Linked DNA regions of Drosophila melanogaster. The protein of the gene in region 2 interacts with the protein of the main gene of each other region in a pairwise test. Each region holds a gene or a part of one and is shown on either strand. Other genes may lie near its edges.

Region 1 (4,382 bases), on a different chromosome or scaffold from region 2:
TTGTGGGTGGCTTGGTGGCGCACAGTCTGCAGTGTCAGCATAAACGGTGGCTACACACAATGACAGCGCCATACATGGTGCGCGTGTTCGGATCTCGGGATCTCTACGGATATGTGAGTATGAGATATGGATGGATGGATGGATGATGAGTGCGGAGCGGCGGCGATGGCGGCAGACAAGACAAAAACATTCTTTGCTCACGACTTTCTGTTCGCAGACGACGACGACGAAATTGCCGTTGCCGTGGCCGACTGTTTATTTGCTTTTGTGTATTCGCGAAACATTTTAAAAATTTATCACAATGTTAAATAATTAACAACACAAGTGAGCGCACACTCACTCAGTCGCGCCGTCTCTTTCTCCTCAGCTGTTGCTCTCTCGCTCGACGACAATGAGCTAAAGCATCATCATCGCCACCGGTTTCTTTAAACTTTTTTTTTTTTTGCTTTTTTGTTATTGTTTGCTCAACATTTAAGCGAATTCCTGCTGCTTCCTGAGTACTTATTTCTTTAATATATTCAGCATTTTATGAAAATTTGTCAAAATATAAAAAAAAAGAGAAGCAGGGAATCTTTTCAATCAATTCAAACACACTTTTGTGAAAATTCCACCGCGAGAGAGTAGAACTTGAACTTGAGACAATGCAATGCAATGCAAACTATTTGTTTATAATAAAGACAAAGAGCGCTCTCGCTGCCGGGCAATGCGGCGTATGCGTAATGTCTGTTGAGCGAATTAGACGATGGCCGGCGAAATCGAGATGAGTGTCATACTTTTACATAATTGCATGAAACAAATGCTGATTCTGCACTGATATTACGTCCTATAAATCGCCAATGCCACGTGAGCCGGTTTTGAACTTCAGCCAACAACGGGAAACAAGGAAAAACCAAAGGCTTGGGGGGGGGGGGGGTAGGGCTGAAAAAAAAGTATGGAAAAAACAGAAATGCCATTGCCACGTGCCGTTTGACCTTTCCCCATTGGTCGCCCGGCGAATGCGATGAACCTCAAGCTCGGCGCTCGCAAATGAGACATTTCAAAATAATCGCAACCAGAAATACACCAACAACAAGTATAGCAGTCGTGGCAGAAAATACCAGTGTCGCCTCCGTTTGGGAATCCTTCAGCCGAAGGCGAAAAAAGTCGCATCAAAAGGTCCTATTGATTTAAAAGGCAAGCAGCTCAAGGCAAGGTCTAAAATGTTGTTGATTACGAGTGTCGCCCATTAAATAAGGGCCCTGAAACAATGTCAAGAATTTCAGCAATATTTGTCTGCAAATCGCAATGCATGGCCATCGAGAAAAGCATTTGCTCCGTAATACTTTTTCAAAACTAATGGTATTTGCATTTAAATTGGATTGGATAATACTTTGTAGGTATATCTACTTTTGAAACTATTCCACTTGATTTAAAGATATTTCTTTATTGTTTTGCAAGCCTATTCAAGTTATAGAACAAATACAAATTTTTGGGATATTATCTATGTGAAAAAGTGAAAAAAAAACTAATCCAAAAGTTGCTGTATATTAATCTACATGCTACCTTTCCACAACAGCTTATTTTCAATTTCCATTTTAGCGTACTGCTCCCTCAGTTCTTCGAGTTCCTTTGAGTTCCTAGCAGCCAAGCGATACAATTGGGCATTTAGGCCAACGATTCTTTCCCTTAGAGCATTCACTGTATATTGGCTAAGACGTTCTGGCCGAAAGACATCCTCCTTAACGGTGGCCACAAAATGCCACATATCCTGAAGCTCTCCACGCTTTTCGCTGCTATATAGCTTAAGTTTTTCATGGAGCACAAGTTTCTCCTGTTCGATTTCGTTGATCAGACCTATTAGATCTGCCGTGGAGGAACTGTTGGGTCGTGGATTTCGACCAGTTTCCGGCTCTTGGCAAGACTCGGTCTTTGAATCTGTGCCCTCATCATCTTTGAGTATGAAATTATTGGGATTCAGCTTGACTTGATTGCATTCGAGATATTTTTGCTGCGCCTTCAGGCGCGTCAATTCACACAGAATGGCGGTAGGTGTTAGTTTTGCCGCCCTGATCTTGGGCGGAATTTTAACTTGATTCCGTTTACGAGCGGGTTTTTCCGGCGGTTGAGCCCTTGGAGCCGTTGGCTTTTGTTCATCGTCTTTTGGATTTTCCATTGGGGCTTCGGTAGCATGTGATTGTTGCACAACATCCAAGGAGAGAGTCGTTGCAACTTCTGCAGCGCTCGTTTGGTTGTTCTTATTTACACGCGGTAATCAAACGTGTTGCCAGCACACCCAACCACCCACCCACTCCTTCCACGTGTTTAATCGATATGCAACCTTTCCACCCCCCTCGATTTTTCCGGCTGCTGTGCCAACAATTCTATGCTTCTGCCGGGGGTCAGTAAACTTTATTTGGCTTGGCTGGATTTTACAATTTTCCAAACGGCAGCGGTAACTTTCAGTGGAAATGGAAAATCGATTAGTACAATTACTGTTTCCATGTCATGGCCTACTTAATTGCCCATGGAAATGGGACAAACGGGGTCGTGGCTTGAAGACCACTTTCGTGGCTAACTAATTTCTAATCAGTACTTGTGGGAGACCGGGAAAATCCACCTGCTAGCCAAAAACTCAAGTGACGATCAAATGTTTGGCGAGCTAATCAAGTTTCAATGGACTAACAAAAGTATAAAGTAAAAGTAGGAAATACAACAGTGAGCCTTGCTTTAGTGGAACTAATATATTAAATCACAATCTACAATCAATGAAATCAAAGCTAAGAAGGTTTATATATTATGCAAAAATGTTCGTTATATTTAAGATTCACTGTTAACTAACGAAATTCGTTTATATTTAAATTGCCTTTTTTTTTTATGTACGGCTAAAATTGCTGGAATTACAAAAGTGCTTGGTATGGAAGTTTGACTGTTTGTGCGGATGAAATGTTGATTTATTATTTGTTTTGCTATCGCCTGCAAAGTCAAATCGGGCAGCATTAACTTGGCGCGTGCTGTTTGTCTTCTGTCTCCCTCCCACCCACCAGCCACAACCCACTTGCGCCCACACCACCCACTCCGCTGTGCGACAGAGACAGAGAGCGAACGCACGTGACTGATTTGCGAATTTACTTTTCTTGCGATGACAAAACATCGTGGATGAAAAATCAGCAGAAGAAGCAACTCCACTGATAGCATTTGTGCTTATCATTGGAATGTATGTATGTATGCGTATTTTTTTTTTTTGCTGCAGATAGCATAGTTTTGTTAGTATCAAAAGCATACAAATATGAACGTGGAAATGCAAAGGAAAGGCAAAAGGTCGACCTTAGATTTAGTGCGCATAATTTTTTGGGTTTTGTAAACACACACACACACAGTAGAAATATGATAAAAACCGCAGACACACGAATGGTGAGCTGCAAAAAGCCGCGAAATTGTTAATAAAAAGGTAAATAAAAATTGTTAAACGATTTCAGCCACCCATCTCGCTCGCTCATCATCTCCGTCCCGCTTGCACTCGCTTCTTTTCGGTCTGACGCGTGTTAGATGTTCAAACATGTTTTCGGTCTGCTGGCCAAAAGGCAACGCTCAGACGGCAGCTTAAATATTTGCCCATAGCGAAAGATCAATCAACAAATGTGAGCGAGACGGTGTGAATTGACCAGAAAGAGACGGGTAGAGCATAGGGCTGCACAGAGAGAAATAATATCGACATATAAATAATGAAATGTATAGTAGCATACAGTTTAAACAGTTTAAAAACTCACATTTGCAATGCGGTTTTTCATCTTAACTTGGAATGAAATTTAAAAAATATTTTATTTAAGTTCCCCTGCTTTTCTCTATGTAAAAACAAACACGAGTGGTATATAGAGTGTCTACGCTGCATGGCTGGTGCTTAATTGCATCAATTGGAGCATTAAAACAGTTGCCAAGGCAACTACAGAAAAATTCAATTAAACTAAAACTTGCCAATTGAGTGCAAACACATTCCGCACACAAAGAAAGTAAACTGAAATTCAATTTGAAAAACGGCACATGAAAGCGATCAAGAGAGCGTAGAACTCTAAACAAAGAAAGAAATCAATTAATACTATTTATATTGGCTAAGAAATGATAAAACTGTTTATTTCAGAGTCATTTCCCCCGCAGATTTTCACTAGAGGAAATCATGTAAGCTAGGCTATGATTTGCTTTTACGATACGCTGATCAAAGTACGTATCGCACACTTTCTTATCGATGGGTTCTGCAGTTCCTTCGGTTTAAACAAATAATCATAATTCGAATGTGTGTGTGTGTACCCACAGTTGTGTGTACAAGTGAACTTTTGCCATTTTTCCATTGATAATAGTGAATTATTGGCAAAATGCGCTTAGGAGCGATAAGCCATGGGCTCTAAGGC
Region 2 (4,914 bases):
TGGTGTGGACAACCAGCTGCTGCGAGTGTGTGTGTGGGAGGAGATCGCCCTTATCCTCAGCCTCGGGATCCGACATATAGGCGCCCAGGCGCGCCTGCAGAAGGGCCTTCTGCCGCATCAATTCCTCCAAATTAAGCTCGTCTTCAATAATAGACAAAATAATAGGACTGGCGGCATCGGCGGGCCTAAAATCAAGAAAGATAAGTGCGAACACCATATGAATTACGAAATCGCTCCCCTATTTTATTCCACAATACTTACACATCGCTTTCGCTGCTTGAACTGGCCACCTCCAGGACAGGCAGCATCTTATTCTGAATAGTTTTGGTGATTTCTTCAACAAGGCTGCTCGGATCCGTCGGAAGCAGGGGTTTGCCGACACGGAAATCGGCTCCATTCCGGCTGGCCTTCTGCATGATTTCTGTGAACTTGCTGCTCAGCCCGCAATTTTGTGATAGCTTTAACTTTGCGTTTTCCGGGGCGTCCGATTCGTTTGTGGATTCGCTTGTTCGGTGGGGGCGCTTTTTTGCCTTCTTCTGCTTCTTGTGGACATGCCTGTCCTTCTCGGTCTTGCCAGTCGAGGATTTTTTATGTTTTTTGTGCTTTTTAGCCTTTTTGTGCTTGGCCCGACGCTCTTCGGTCTCGCTGTTGTTGCTGGAGTCGTAGCTATTCGGTACAAGAGGGGAGCAGCCCAGGTCAATACACACACGTGCGGTCGGCTTAGTAAAATTAACCTACCTTTTGTCGTCAGCCATTATTTGATTGTTTAACAATGTAAACTGCAGATGCGCGCACACTGTGCGTTCATAAGGTGTGCGGTAATTCTGCAGATGGCTAATGAAACTTGTAATTTTCCTCTTATTGTATTCTTCCTCTTCGTAGCTTTTTTAGTGTGACTGCACGCCGGACAAAAGTAAATACGTTTTAAAAATACCTCCTGGGATTTCGGAATTATTTCTAGTATATATGCAAGTAAAATAAAAATATATTAAAATTAAATTTTATAACCCTTAAATATCGTCTTTGGCGCAAGTCTAAATTGGAAATAAAAACGAAGGAATTTCGAAACAACAGTTGAATTTGTATATTATAGTTCATGACATTTTATTTTTTTGTTTTTATTGTACATGCTAGCGCTTCTAACCTAATTGGCAACAGCTACATCCACGTCGTGCTCATCTTTGTCGATGCTTAGCTCAAGCACCGTGTCCTCTTCTACGGACATGGCTTTAGAGTCCTCAGTAGAGACTGAGTGATATTTGGGCTCGCCGCGGGCTCCGTCGAACTTTGTGGGAGTGCTATTGTTGAGATCGTCGTCTTCATCGCTTACCTCCATGATCCCATTGTCGTCTAGGTCCGGCTCAGAGCGGGCATCGCAATCGCTGGACGAGGAGGATGCCGAGGATGAGCTGTCCTGGTCCAGCTGCTGTTCCAGCTCGTGAATCGTGTACATCAGCAAAGTGAAGTCATTGCGTCGTTTCTGAAACTTGCGCTCCATCTTTAGCTTCTTTTGCACCAAGTCGTCAATCTCCCTCCTAATGGTCTCAATATGTCGCTGTGTTTCACTGCGGTCCGGTTGGTCCTGGATGAGCGAGGCCAGCAGGTCGTACTCCATCTTGTTCTTGCGAATCTGCTTGGCAGTGATTAGCTCTTTTTTACTGGATTCGATTTCCGCTTTAGCCAAAACAATACTTTCTTCGTGGTGTTCAACTAGTTGTGTGTAGTTGTCACGCTCACCGGCGATCATCTGCAGAGTTTGTACATTCTTTAACGCAGTGAGCTTGCACTGGGCGAATTGGGCCATCAGTCGGTCGTACATGATGGGACTGTAATTCGGAAAAGAGGAGATATGTACACCATGTTTTGAATACACACATATCCAATTTCTTACTTGCTGTCCAGCGAGTCACTGGCCCACTTCAAGAACTGTTTCAGCAACACTACTATTCTCCGATCCTCTCCAGTTCCATCCCCGTCAATCAGCAGGCGCTGCTTTATGATTTCTTCTGGAAGATCAGTTTAAATATCTATTCCCAAATGCGAAAATAAACAAAAACAACTTACCGTCATTCATCTCCACTAATTTCCGAACTAGCGTATCGGAGTGTGGCCGAAGCTGACACTGCTCCGACATACCACGCAGTACGGTCCTACTGTACTTGTCCTATCATTTTAATTTGGAGAAAGTATTGAATTATGCCTTACCCTTTATATCCCGCCCATAGCCAAGTGTAGTGCCGTACACTTTCGGACATCAGCGAATCCCATTAACTAAGTGCACTTCTTGCAGAATGTCGGAAACGTCAAGCGTCAACGTGGATGCGGACCGAGATTGCAGAAGGATTGAGGGCCTCCGACAGCGCTCACAACGCCTTGCTGCCCGCCTCCAGCAGATGCAGAGGGAAATGGAGTCTAATGCATCCAGCAAAGACCTATCGGCCAACAATGCCGTTATTCCGCTGCAGCCACTAATGCGCTGGGCGGAACCACGGCCACATCCCAACCAATCCCAACCATCTGCTCGGAGCAACAGCAGGCAGGCCATTCCTTACGGTGTGCCAGTATCCACGCCAGCGCCGGTAGCTATGCAATTGCCCTACCACGTAGCATTCGCCTCCTACCAGGCGACCATGCAGATTCCCTGCCTTCAGCCACTTTCGCATTTGCACGTCGTGTCTAGTCCCAGCCATCGGTTAATAGCGAAAAAGAAGTCGAAGCGGGCTCTTCGAAATGAGGTGGAAGCTCTTCAGGATATGGTCAAACATCTTTCACACCTCTCCCCAGATGTTAACGCGTATGCCTGCCAGCTGATACGTAAAAACGAGATCCTTTCTCAGCTCGAGTGGAGTCAGACCAGGTCAGAAGCACATCCGCAACAGGTTGGTTACCAGGGGCGGCATCGCCACGATTCTGAGGTCTCTGCTACAAACAATGGAAGTCATGTACAGCAGCAACCGAAACTAGGACGAAGGCAACGCAATAGCAAGAAAAACGATGGATCCGGTAGCAATGGGACCCAATCGCAAAAAACCGAACTAGAGGCCATGCGGTCGTACATAAACAAGATTGTCCAACGTCACGTGGGTATGGATCACCAGTTGTCGGAAGACTTGATTTTCAAAGGTAACTTCTCCGACCTGGAAGCGCATGCGCAGAGACTAGTTGCGGCGGGTTATGGGCGCATTGTAGAAGAGGAAATCCGGGTTAACCGCAAGAACAACAGACAGGCCTTTATAATCATGTCCACTGATCGAGAAGCACTCGAACGAGATGGCATCGTGCTCTTGCCAGTGGCTAGGCGCTATGCCTTCGATGGTGACAAAGTACGTGCATTCGTGCTAAACCCTGGTGCTCAGGGTAGTTCAAAGACAGCTGAGCCCTCGTCTGGTGAAATCTCTGGTGGGAAGCCCTCATTATCTCTTGGTAAGTTTATCGGCAAACTTATAATACTTTCGACTGATGATAATATCCTATAAAGCGGATGGTGAGGAGCTTTCGGACGATACCGAGTCCCAGGGCTCTGAGTCCGATACCGACAACGTGGTCGTGATATCGTCGGACAACTGCCCTAAAGCGTTCGTCATAGCAATAACTAAACGAACTGAGCTCCGCCAGATCGTGGGAACCATATCGTTTACGAACCCAACCAAACTCTGTGACGACCAGCTATTCTACAAATTCCGACCGTACGATTTGCGTGTCCCCATGGTCTACGTTCCGAAGGATGCCTGTGCCGCCCACATCGGAAACAAGCAGCAAATAGACGTGTCCGGCCTCTTATACCTTGCCCATATACTCGAGACAGATTGCAATGGGCACTGCATCGCTGAACTAATCCAGCCGGTTGGCCGCGTGGGTAATTTGGATGACGAACTTAAGGCAATTCTGTTTCATAACGGTCTCCGGGATATAAAGCCATTTGAGCAACGATTTATCGACATTTACTCCCAGCCGCCACCTCCGATAAGCCAAGAGGATCTGCGTCAACGAAAAGACTTAAGAAAGATGTGCATATTTACTATAGATCCGATGACTGCTCGCGATTTGGATGACGCCGTTTCTATAGAGAAGCTAGGCGACAACGAATATGAGATTGGCGTCCATATATCCGATGTTTCGCACTTCCTGATAGAGGACAATGAACTGGATAACATAGTGAAGGAACGCTCTACGTCTATTTATTTAGCCAACGAGGTAATCCACATGCTGCCTCAGTCTCTATGCATGCGATGTTCCCTGCTCCCTGGGCAAGACAAGTTTGCTTTTTCCGTCTTCTGGCGGATGAACGGGAAGGGAGTCATGCTGCAAAAGAAGCCAGAATTTTGCCGCACAGTCATTAACTCTTGCTCGCAATTTGCTTATGAACACGCTCAAAAGATCATCGACAACCCTAATGAACGGTTTACCGAGAACGACTTTCCGACCATCCTGAATGGATTTAATCCCGATGATATCAGAAATAGGGTGCTATGGCTGCACGACATTGCAAGCTCCATCCGTAAGACACGTTTAGACAATGGCGCACTCACAATTAACAATGCCAAGCTACGCTTCCTGCTCGATCCAATTACTGGCGAGCCGTTGTCTTTTGAAGTGGAGAAACAGCGAGAGGCTAACCGGCTGATTGAAGAGTTTATGCTCCTGGCCAACCAGGCAGTCGCCCGCTTTATACACGACTCCTTTCCGGATATCGCTGTACTGCGTAACCACCCTCCGCCACTTATTAAGTCCCTTAAGGCTTTAAGGGAAAAGCTGCTTGCTCTGGGATTCGAATTGGACTATAGCTCGTCTAAGGCGCTCCAGGAGAGCATGGTGCGGTTGTGCAATGAGGCGCCCAATCCTGTCGCAATGAATGCCTGCCTAAGTCAGCTTTTGATGAAACCAATGGCCCGTGCAACGTGAGTGTCTCAGTTT
Region 3 (5,592 bases), on a different chromosome or scaffold from region 2:
GACATAAATAAACCTTTTGTAATTTGTTGTAAAAAGAAAGGAAAGAATGAAAGAAGGAAGGATGGCGGAAATTAAAAGGCATGACATGTGCTAGAGCTGGCGTCAAGTAAAACTATAAATTATATATAAATATAAATATATATTAAAGCATATACATACATATAAATATAAATAAACAGTAATTAATTAATTACGATAATATTTTGTAGTTACACACTCGAACACACGGAGAAATTCAAATATACAAACACAGAGCGAGACCTTTAGTTTTGTAAACCGCGAGCGATTGGCACAAGTTAAATAACTACAATTTGGACAGCATTGCATTCGAGCATTTGATTTAACAATGCATTAGATTTTTATGTTTATTATTATTATACAAAATACGATTAATGCTAATTTCTTTGTGAAAAAAATAAAACAAGTTTATTATGTAGCAAAAAGAAAACGTTTTATTTCTCAATTCGAACCGATTTAATTGTCTCTTCCTCACACCAAAATGCACACATCCACACATAGTTTCAACTGATTGGCTTCAATGGAAGGCTGCGATGACTACAAAACTGAAATCAAAATTGATATTAATACGGCATGCAATTAACGAGAATAGCATTACATTGAAAATAAATATAGATAAATAATATACACGTACCATAACCTCTATAGCCCTTCCAAATCTGCAGAAAATGGCACAACAACCAAAAATGAAAGCGCAAGTTCGAGGCATTTTATACGGCGCATTTTTTATATATGAGCAGGCTAGCTGTCTATATGATATTACCCAAAAATGGTCGACTTTTATAAATGAGCCAGTAAGTAAACAAGACATATTTTTTTATAAGCCTTGGCAAGCTAAACTTTTACCAGGCCGTACATTTTAAAAAAAATTATACATACTTAAAAGCAAGAATACTAAAACCCTATGCCCGAACTCCTAAATAAAGTCGAATACAACAGCAAAATCCATACCATACCATTTTCAACTAGTAGAATTTTTCCAAAGTGTAGAAATGTAAACCTTTATATAAATATATAGATTTGTAATTGAACTCTCTAGTTGAGGTAAAAACACTTCTATACAATATAAATAAACTCCCAAGTCGGTCGTTTCTTGAAGCTCGACATTTGGAATGAACTGGATAAAGTAGTAAAACTCATGTAGAAACACAGCAGTAAGCTAAAACCAAACTAAAAGTATAAAATATAGATAAACTGTATATAGGGAATACCAGGCAGGCAAACCACTTCAACTGAAAGCTAATCTGCAGGCTTGGGTAGGTGGAGGGTCCGACTATAAAGATGTCTTCACCCAAAAAGTTTGTTTCAAAATGTGCTATTAAACTACAGATTTCGATCATTTAAGTCTTACTTTGGTTTCCTTAGATTTCGATCGTCCACTTCACTTGGTGCAGTTTAAGAGCCCACTATTGACCAAAGCTTGTACTCCATTGTATTTTGAATGCCTACCCCCAAACTAAGCCACACAGAACGGCAGAAACGAGAACATAAAGTAATGAACAGAAAACTTGAATTCAATTATGAATGATATTAAATGAGAAAAACATAAAAACTTATTAGCCACATATGTACGTACGAAGGATGAACATAACTAATGAACAAACTTGTAACTAAATACTTCTACATATTGAATAAAAAGAATGATATTAAAAGGTAAAATTTTTGACAAATAAGAATCAGGTTGGTACATATATGGTGTTACATACAAAAACTTATTTATTTCAATTAGGGCAGTGACAGTTTTTTTATTTGACCAATATGTCTGCGTAGTTCCCCACCCTATCCGCCATCTGTATTTGCTCCTGTTCGCTGGCGAATGAATGATGCACTGCCTCCAAGGTCAAATCGATGCATTGTTCACGGGTTAGACCGAAAGTTTCCGCAGCAATCAGAAACTCCTTTGTCAAAGTGGTATCAAAAACGCCACTGTCGTCCGTGCAGATAACCTTGGGTGCATCTGCCTCCATGATTCTTTTCAAGTGGTGCTCCTCCAAGCTGGGCACTGTTCCCGACTTAACATTACTAGTGAGGCAGCATTCAATGGCAATATTTCGTTGTTTAAGCTGCCCAATGTCCTCGGGAGTAAGAAAAGTTCCATGTCCACAGCGGGACATTCCAAAGTGCAGCATTTCCTTTACCTCCGATGGATTCTCGATCTCGGCGCAGTGTATAGCTAACTTCAGACCCTTATCCCGGGCCTGTGCAAGAATAGGAGCAAAGTCGGAAAACCGCCCCTTCCCTGGATTACCGCTAAGATCGATGCCTAAGATAAGATTTGGATGAGCCCGTGCCAACTCCACAGCCAGGGAAACTGTTTCCTCAGCCACGTCCACTGGTTCCGCTCGATTGATGGAGGGCAGTAGCTTGACTGTTATCTCTGGATACGTTTCGCTAGCTGCCTTAATTGCATCGATCACGATCTGCAGGTAGTCCCTGCGTGAATAGTTCTCGTTTGCCTTAGGAGTGGTCCTCATTTCCACATACTGGACGTTGTCCTCAGCGAAATCTCGAATCGCCAACTCCGTGGCAAATCGCAGACCCTCCCGGGTGGAGGTCAACTCGTGCACAAATGCAAACTTCTCGAAGCATGCATCCATATCCTTTTCAAATCGGCTGAAGTGCGCGCACAACTTCAGGAAATCTTTACAAGAGGTTCCATACAATCGCTCGCCAAGATCACATAGGCTTTTGATGCCCAAGGAACCGTTGAGGTGAGCATGGAGCTCTACTTTGGGCAGACCTTTAAGAAACTGCTCCATTTGTAGTTTAACAATAATAACAATACATTATGAGAAACAGTGATGCTAAATGTGGAATCGATTTTCAAATATTCGTAATTATTCGGAAAAAACGCTAAAAACGCTAATCTTCCATCACTGTAAACATGTTATCGATTACAGTACGGAGAAAAATCAAAAACACAGCCAACCCTGGCAGGCAAAACCAAGAAGAAGCACAATTTGTAAATATAGATTTTCTCTGCGAGTTTTCTTCGAATTTTCTTCGCCATGTCGGATGCCCACTTGGAAGCACCGCCTTCGGTGCGACTAACCAACGATGACTTCCGCAAGCTGCTAGCGACGCCCCGAGCTCCTCCTCCTGGCTCCGGGACGAGCAGCACCTCCGCTGGAGGATCTCTGGCCACTGCTACCTTTGCCACGCCCTCCACCGCCCCCGGCACGACAGGATTGAGTGGCGAAAAGAAGAAGGGTCAGAGCAGCAGCGAGCGGAATGATCTGCGTCGCAAGAAAAAGAACTTCTATGCGGCGCTCAAGAAGCAGGAGGATGTGAAGCTGCAAGAGCTGTCCGAGAAGTACAGGGACCGAGCACGAGAACGACGCGATGGTGCCAATCCAGATTACGTGAACGTGAGCACGCCGGGACACGGAAGCAGCACCAATGCGTATCGAGCTGTAGCGCCAGATATGAAATCCGGAATCGATGCCCAGGAGCGAAGAAGACGTATCATTCAGGAGTCCAAGTTCTTGGGTGGAGACATCCAGCATACGCATTTGGTGAAGGGTCTTGATTACGCCCTTCTGCAAAAAGTGCGCTCCGAGCTGCACTCGAAGGAAGCGGAAGAGGAGGAGATTGCCGCCGCTGTGGCAAGGGAAAAGCTCGCCGAAGCAGCTGCCGCCGCTGAGCAATTGGAAGCGGAACGCCGCGAGTCGGAGGATATTAATGCAATCAATGGTGCACTAGCGCGCAATATTTACAATCTAGTGCAGGCAAGGCGTTCGAAAGAAGTTCCCCGCAATGAGCTATTTGCTCCAGGACGGATGGCCTATGTGATCGACCTGGATGACGAGCTAGGGGAGTCGGATATTCCAACCACACTGAAGCGCTCCAAGTTCGAGGTGCCGGTGTCACAAGAGGATGTTGCCACGCTGACCACCAATGACATTGTGATCAACAAGCTGTCCCAAATCCTGAGCTATCTACGTGCCGGTGGTCGCAACAAGAAGAACAAAAAGCGCGACAAGGACAAACCGCTGTTCTACGAAAAGGAGGTGGAAAATCTTCGTGGGTCGTCTAGCAATGGTGGCTCCAGTCGGCACGCCACCTCGTCCTCATCGAACATGGGAGGGAAATCAGCTCCCTTGGGCGATAATATCTACGACGATATAGGGGACTACCAACCTTCTGCCACGCGACCTGAGCGAAACCGCCAGGAGCAAGGCAAGTCCGCCCCGTCCTACTTTGGAGACGGCCCGCCGGAGGCATCAGAGGAGCCGATAATATCCAGTATTCCCCCGCCACCCAAGATATCGAAGGCCATGGCCGCACGGTTCGCTGAACCCGAGGGATACGCAGAATGCTATCCCGGGCTGGAGGAGATGAACGACGCCATCGACGACTCGGACGATGAGGTGGATTACACCAAGATGGATTTGGGCAATAAAAAGGGGCCCATTGGACGCTGGGACTTTGACACGCAGGAGGAGTACTCCGACTACATGAGCACGAAGGAGGCGCTGCCCAAGGCAGCCTTCCAGTACGGGGTCAAGATGCAGGACGGTCGCAAGACGCGCAAGAACAAGACGGAGAAGAACGAGAAGGCCGAGCTCGATAGGGAGTGGCAAAAGATTCAGGTATGTATATCCCAAAGGATTCGTCGATGATCAATACAAAATATTTATTTTTCTTTGCCATTTAGACAATCATTCAAAAGCGAAAACTGCCAAAGGACGGTGGAGGCGGCGGTGCTGGTGGCGATGAACCCGATTACAAATCCGCAAAGTACTAGAAATTCTTGAAACATTATTCTATATTTGTAATGTAATTCTGTAAAACATTAAATATAAGTATGCTCGTACTTGTATTAATCTTACATGCTCTCAAATATATTTTAGCAACGTTATCACTAATTTAACTGCTACTGGAGTTGGGAACTAAGGGGAGGGTCCTTAGGGAGCTTGGCAGGTTGACTTATCGACTATGTGCGGCAATAGCGCTGGTACAGTGGGATTCAGAACTGTAAGACCGCTGGCGCAACGCGAGTTTAATTTCCATCGAGTAAGGCCAAATGTTGGGGAACTTTAAAACGGGTTCGACAATCAAATAAAATCGATCTCTTTATTTTGCATTGCATTGCTCTTACAGTCCCGAAACGCACTGCTTGTGATTCTCAGTTGGTGTGCGAGCTGCATCTACTTAAGCTGGATGGGTGCACCTAGTGCTGCTCTCTAACATGTAACGTTTCCTGCATGCTTAGAAATATGACACTGATTAAATGTAATTACCTTCGCGGGAATGCTATTCTTAATCACTACGCTAAGTCCGAGTGTGAGGATGGTGGGGCGACTTGTATAAAATGGGTATCGGTAAAGTTTGTATCTTTCAGCTTCGGAAAACCGAAGCTCAGCCCTTTACACTGCCAAGAGTGGTTTGAGGAAATGGGGAAAACAAAGCCGGAAATGATTAAATAGTAGAATTTGTTTCTGGTTACCTAGCTTGAAAATATTGCAGCGATTTCCCACCTAAACATGTCATTAGAATTTATAAAAGTATTAAAACCGTAAAAATGGATTGATCTTCGATAAGAAGACATTTTTGAGATTCTCAAAAGGTATC
Region 4 (6,117 bases), on a different chromosome or scaffold from region 2:
CAGACCTCCATTCAGATTAATCGTCCTCAACCCATGCACACGCTGCTCGCCAGTGGCCAGATCCCGACCCGGGTGCGCATCAACTTGGCCAATCCGCCGCCGACTGCAAGTGGTGCTCCCGCTCCTGGCGCGGCCGGAGCTCCGACCGATTCCGCCCAGCAGGCCATCACCATCAACACAAATTTTGTGAACGGACAGATAAACGCGGGATCGCGACTGGTGGCCCAGCAACTCCTTGGCCTCTCGCCGCCGAGCGGATTGCAGCCTAGTGGCGGTGGCAAACGCTTCCAAATGCTAAGTAACTCAGCCAACGTGCAGTTCATCGACGAAACGGAGACCCACATCCAGTTCAAGAGGAACACCGACGCCACTAAGAAGGTTCAGAAGCGCGGCCTGGTGCTGCTGGACGATGGATCTGTGGTGGACGACGGTGTCGGTTCCGGAACGGATGGGAGCTTGATTTACAACGGTCTCGCCGACTTTGGCGGACAGCAATTTAAGCAGGATCTTACGCTCAAGATGAGCCTGGAGGAGGAGATCAGCACGCACGACCGAGAGCCCGCCGAGGAGGAGGTAAGGGCCGTGATGGCCATCTGTAGCAGCTGCCACACGGAGCCTTTCCAGGGTGCCATCGTGTTTTCGTGGAAGGATGTGCGCGAGCACATGAACAACGCCCTCAAGGGCCTCAGTGTGGGTCCATGTGGTAACTTCTAGTTGTTCCCAAAGTTCGGATAACATTCTAGTGTCCTAGGACCCCAGCTTAAGCTTTCCCAGCCCCACCCCATTATTTCCATATCTTTTTTTTTTCTATATATGTACGAATAAGTATTCGATTGGTTGGGCATCTTGTGCCACAATTGTCCATGTGGGAGTCAACGCTTTACTGTTGCCACCCATTTGGCCACCAAACAATCCTTGACTCGCTCATGGACACCAATCCATCCTGCTTCCCTAAGCCCTACATCCTCACCCTAGCAATTACGCGGTGATATTGAATAAAGGACTATTTAACTGATACCATCTAGCAGCACTTACCTTTGATTTGTGGATATGCTGGTGCTTGTAGTCCGAGTCGAACTCCGGCTCGCTGAAGTAGCTCTGATCCTGATCCCAATTGGCCTGCGCCTGCGGCAGGGGTTGGGGTATTCCAGGGCCGCCGGGCAGAATCTGGGGCGGGGCTGCCACCTCAGTGGACTCAAAGAGACGCAGCACGGAGCGATCCCTGATCTCGCGCAGATGCGAGCGCACGTCCTCCAGCTCGTAGAACATATCCTTGCTGGCATCGTGAATGTAAATCTTCACATTGGGCCCCTCCAGATATGACATGGTCAACTGGCGCGGAAACGAGCGTACGAACAGGGCGCGCACCGTATCAATCGAAGTGATCTCGTTGGGCAGCAGGGCGCGCTTCGTCTCCGAGCGGTACTGCAGAAAGACCAGGCCCAGCGGTCGTTCCAGAGTTTTCGAGGGCGTGCGTACCACGGGGAGCGAGGAGCGCTGCTTGCCGCCCCTCCGGAATCCGGTGCTGGCCGTTTCCACCTCCGACATGATGCCGGGATCGTCGTCGAACAGCGGTCCCTGGTTAACAGGCGCATAACCGCGCATCGGCTGGTTCTTTTTGTTCTTCTGCGCGCGCGTACTCATCTAAGAAGGGACAAGAATCAGAAACTGATGGTAGAAACGAGTTGAGATGGGAGATGGAGCTCACCTCCAGATCCATGGCCCGCTGTTGCTGGGGCGCCATCTGATGGGCGTGTGGATGCTGCGAGCCGTAGACCAGCATATCGCCGCCGAGCGTATGTCGTCGTGGATCGTCGCGTCGCATGGCTCGTCGTCTTTCGTCGCCACCTGGGGAAACACATAGACACTGAGGATGGGGCTACAGATCCGTGGACGTCTTTGGTCCTTAACATACCCTGTTCATTCGACGGAAGCCGTCCCGACTTTGCCTCATTCTGCCAGTCTTCTTCTGAAAGAGAGGGAGCTGGAGTTAGGCTCATTTCATTTCGCTTCCTTCCGATTTATGGATTCCGATTACTTACCGCCCTCTCTACCCTTGCGCTTCTTCTTCGACGAGGAGCTGCTGCTGCCGCCGACGCTCTGGTTGGAGGAGGCGCTCTTGTCCTTACTCTTCCAACGGATCAACATCCTGCAGCCGTTTGAGATGTGCGGAGCTCAGTGGCTATGTTGCAGCTGCAGAAAATGAGAGACAACGGGGCGTATGGGTAACGTGAAAATGTCCTTATTTTTTTGGTCTTTGTTTACGTTTGGTACCGGCAACAACACGCTAAACCGCACACACACAACATGCAACTTTGGTGTAGATAAACCATGTATCCTCGCACATTCTTTAACAGGGTGTGGTGGAATGGAGTGGAGCCTCGCAGTGGCAGTGCCAGTGCTCAATGCAAAAAGTATGCAACGGAGTGCGCAAACTCTGCTCTGCAACACGGAATGGAGCAAGAAAGCAGGACAGAGCGGAAGGCGTGACTGGAGCTGGATCTGGAACTGCATGCGGATCTGGATCGGGACCCCAGAAATGCGGCTGGCAGAACAGACAATAGTGTTGGCCGAATACAATTGTTCATCGCAGTTGCCATTAAGATGCCATTTGCTGAGAGAACACGAATCACTTTCGAATTTGTTTTGCATATGTAAACGTTTTTGGAGTTGGAAGTTGCTTTAAACAAGGCATGTCAAGTTATTTTGGCTGCATGTACATGTTTATCTCGAGCAAGAAATCCGAGGAAGGGGCACCAAAAGGAAACGGACGCAGAGATGGGTACACACGAAACATGGTATACTTTTCAGTGCAGCACTTCACGGGTTTTAGTATGCCTTTGCCTTTGCCAGTGCCAGTGCCTGGGAATATGTACACAGCCACCCACATTCACTGCCCATCGGCATTATTGCGGGCCACTAAAGGAATTTTTGATTAGTTTTAGGTGCGGTGCCCCGGCCCGTTTTTTCCCAGCCGCCATTAATTGTGTCAGTTGCGTCCAGTTTCCAGGGCACGAGTGCACATTAAACACGGTGGAGGGGAGCTCGTGTCTGTTGACTTTTCCACACACGTCAGCGGTCAGTTGGCTGGATTCCTTTGGGTTTTCATGGGGGATCTCGTCCTAGCTGTACCTTGTATACCTATGCACCTTTGGGGGTGTGTGGGCGGTTCACCGGCGATGTTTCTGGCATTTTCTCAAACCGCACTTGCCTTGCCGATTCAGGAAGGTTTCACAATTAACGGGTCTAGGTGCTCATAGCTCGAGGAGCTCACCGATTTAGCCGTGTCCTTAGGATAAAGATTCGATTCAATTCGCTTCGCTTTGCACTCGTCACTACACAGCTTTCTGGAGTCAGGACACGGCACTCGTCCACCGACGCAGCATAACGCCAGAAGAGCAGAAATATTTCTGGTATATCTACACCGGAAAGCGTTTCCGCCCTAGCCGAACGAGGACTGCGTGCTTGCACGGCGCATGCGTTACCAATCGAGTGTTCCCGGACCAGCGAAGTTCCCTGGCATCCAGCCGTCAGAGGTCCTGGCATCCCTGCATTCCGACGCTGCTCTGTTGTGTGTGTTTACCTGGTGCCGGGGCAATCGAGTAATTTTCTTGGCGGTTGAGCGCATGTGGCTATCGAATGGCTCCAATCGATTACTGGGCGGAAGGCCTTTAAAAACAGGTGACGAAACACATGCTTGTCCTGCGCCGGCTTGTTTATCCGGGAGTAGCCAGGATTCCAGCGGATGTCTGGGCCCGCAGCCACGCCCTGGTGGAGTTTCCCGGCCAGTGGCCTCGCTGTGAGCAGCACCAGTTTGAATCGGACATGCGGGTCATCAGGGACTTCATCACTGCGAAGGAGGAGCAACTACTGATGCGGGAAATCGAGCCTCACATCAGCCGCTTGCCGTACGAGTTGAGCCACTGTGATGACGTGGGTGGGTATATATAGAGACTATATAGTATCGGATTTCTGGCTAAACTTCTTAAACTTCGCAGGCAGATACCGCGAAGTTGAACGCCGAAAGTGGACTCCCCAAAACCAGGCCACGCTGGATCACGTCTCGTGAGTTTCCTTCGGTGAGCAGGTCATGCCCTTCGTGCACATCCTGGACTTGGCTGACTCTGGCGCGATCAAGCCGCACGTGGACAACACTCGAGTGAGTTTGGCCACAGAAGATGCAACTCGATTTCATTTTCATTTACGATTGTATTCGACAGTTTTGCGGCAACACCACTGCGGGCATTAGCATGCTCAGCGACTGAAGCGCGTGACCAAGGATCCCATGACTTTGTCAGCCACTCTGAGGATCTGCTCCTGCCGCAACTCTCGCTCTATATTAAGAGTGCCCTAGCGCGATACGAGTTCACCCACGAAATCCTGGCCAGAGATCAGTCGTGGTTCAAGGAGCGCTTGGTCGAAACGAACCTTGATGGCATACGCATAGTTTCCTTTTCTCACAGCTGGTGTACATGTATATATATATATATATACAATGAAAATTTATTCCGGTTTGGTGATCAGCTAATGTAATACAGACGGCGGACTGCGACGGATTACACGACGTGATTCAGCCATGTAATATATGATACACTAAATCAAATGTACATATACATAGTATATCTTAAGCTAGCTACTTGTACTTTATAAATATTGGGCTCACCTTTCTCACTCGCTTCAAATTTTCTACTCCCTCTTATAATCTTTTGAAATTTGTGTTTTTTGCTCAACAATGTATATGGGTTGATGCTTTTCTACTTTCATTTGTACGTTGTCGTCTCGTTTCATTTAAAGCTTAAAATATGAGAATGACAGAGACAGGGAGATTAATGGGCAACTGAGTGAGATGGAGAGAAGGTGCTTGGGAAAGGGGAAGGATACAAAAATCGACCGGACAAGGACTAGTCCTGGATTCAAGGATAACTGGGAAATAGTGATGTGTTGTCGCTAAACCTACGTTCATATTTGCACTTCTAGCCACTGCTAGTTAAAGTCTATGCCGTGCTTCCGGCTCGGGGAATGATATTATGGCGATGGGGACTCGGTTCTGGCGGGTCATCGGTCATCAGTCATCCAGCTCATCCCAGTTTTCGGCGCCGCGGCAGCTGCAGCGGCAAGGCAACAACGGAAGCAGACGAGGTCGGATTTGCTGCCATCACCGGAAGGGCAAGAGCCACTGGAGCTGCGAGTCCGCCGCCGACGTACTGCAGATGCTGCACCACCGAGAGCTGTGGCTGCTGCTGCTTGAGCAGCTTGGCGGCAGCGTGTGCCTCCGCCGCAGCCACCACGACGGGGTGCACCGGTTCGGTGCCGACTCCTCCGTTGACATGTGGACCGGTGCTTTCGCAATCGTCTTCGTCTGAGATCAGTGATATGCTGAGGTCGCTGGACAGTTTTAGGGAGATGGGCGTGGGCGGCGAGGGAGCCACCAAGGGCGCCACTTTGGCGCGCAATGCCGGTGACAGTTTCTGCAGCTGCTCCGGCATCAGGTCGTTCGTGTATTCCGGCACTCCACTAAAAGCCAGGCCTTCGCGTAGTTTGCTCAGCGAGAGTTCGTAAATACGGTTTGCGATGACCGTGTGAACGGTCGTCTCGTCCGGCAGCGTGGCTGTGATGCCTCCGCCCACGTCCACCTCCAGAAAACAGCCCGTTTCATTGCCGCCCTCTCCGCCTTCGGCGGTGGCGAATCCATTGCTGGCCGCCGTCGACGCTCGACACGGCTTGGGGTGACCTGACACCCGCGTCAGGCAGTTGGCAGTGGTGGAGGTGCGCGGCACCAACGAAACAGTTACCTCTTCGATGGTCTCCGACTGTGTGAGCGGTGCGAGCGGTGGCGGTGAGCGCATGGAGAGCTGGGAGCGCACTCTTGCCGTGCTGCTGGGTTCCTGCTCGTTGTGCTCGTCATCGCTGGTTATCAGGATGCTGTCGGTCACTGGGTATGAGTGGGTGGCAGCTCTGCGCGGCGCCTGCCTTCTGCCCGTTCTATGTGCTCGGTGCCCTGGGGCAGGAATCAGGAGGCGATTGTGGCCAGCTGCAGCGGGCTGTCCGGCCGATGGGGTCTCATCGTCATCCGACAGCAGGTCGATGGTCACGTCCGGCTGCAAAGTGGAGGCGACA

The links.
Region 1: the proteins of thoc7 (region 2) and CG15071 interact in a two-hybrid assay, tested with the Drosophila melanogaster proteins (one large-scale study listed by BioGRID).
Region 3: the proteins of thoc7 (region 2) and beag interact in a two-hybrid assay, tested with the Drosophila melanogaster proteins (one large-scale study listed by BioGRID).
Region 4: the proteins of thoc7 (region 2) and CG32809 interact in a two-hybrid assay, tested with the Drosophila melanogaster proteins (one large-scale study listed by BioGRID).

The regions. Positions count from the first base shown.
Region 1 is NT_033778.4:18,694,404-18,698,785, reverse strand, and holds CG15071 (uncharacterized protein), read right to left. Parts: upstream 2,202-4,382; 5' UTR 2,153-2,201; coding exon 1,532-2,152; 3' UTR 1,441-1,531; downstream 1-1,440.
Region 2 is NT_037436.4:210,554-215,467, forward strand, and holds thoc7 (thoc7), read right to left. Parts: upstream 2,135-4,914; coding exon 2,065-2,134; intron 2,007-2,064; coding exon 1,892-2,006; intron 1,827-1,891; coding exon 1,145-1,826; 3' UTR 1,083-1,144; downstream 1-1,082. Other genes in the region: Prp4k (Pre-mRNA processing factor 4 kinase), read right to left, coding at 1-185, 262-666, 739-755; Dis3l2 (Dis3 like 3'-5' exoribonuclease 2), read left to right, coding at 2,197-2,231, 2,291-3,423, 3,479-4,898. UniProt on the Drosophila melanogaster protein: The THO complex is required for cell proliferation and for proper export of heat-shock mRNAs under heat stress.
Region 3 is NT_033777.3:9,062,424-9,068,015, reverse strand, and holds beag (beag), read left to right. Parts: upstream 1-2,937; 5' UTR 2,938-3,026; coding exon 3,027-4,610; intron 4,611-4,675; coding exon 4,676-4,765; 3' UTR 4,766-4,884; downstream 4,885-5,592. Other genes in the region: Ada (adenosine deaminase), read right to left, coding at 1,764-2,777.
Region 4 is NC_004354.4:1,689,165-1,695,281, forward strand, and holds the start of CG32809 (uncharacterized protein), read right to left. Parts: upstream 3,605-6,117; 5' UTR 3,275-3,604; exon of another isoform or gene 3,133-3,274; intron 2,194-3,132; 5' UTR 2,149-2,193; coding exon 2,043-2,148; intron 1,970-2,042; coding exon of another isoform or gene 1,967-1,969; coding exon 1,916-1,966; intron 1,849-1,915; coding exon 1,709-1,848; intron 1,645-1,708; coding exon 1,036-1,644; intron 1,024-1,035; exon of another isoform or gene 715-1,023; coding exon of another isoform or gene 16-714; intron 1-15. Other genes in the region: b6, read left to right, coding at 16-714; a6, read right to left, coding at 5,079-6,117.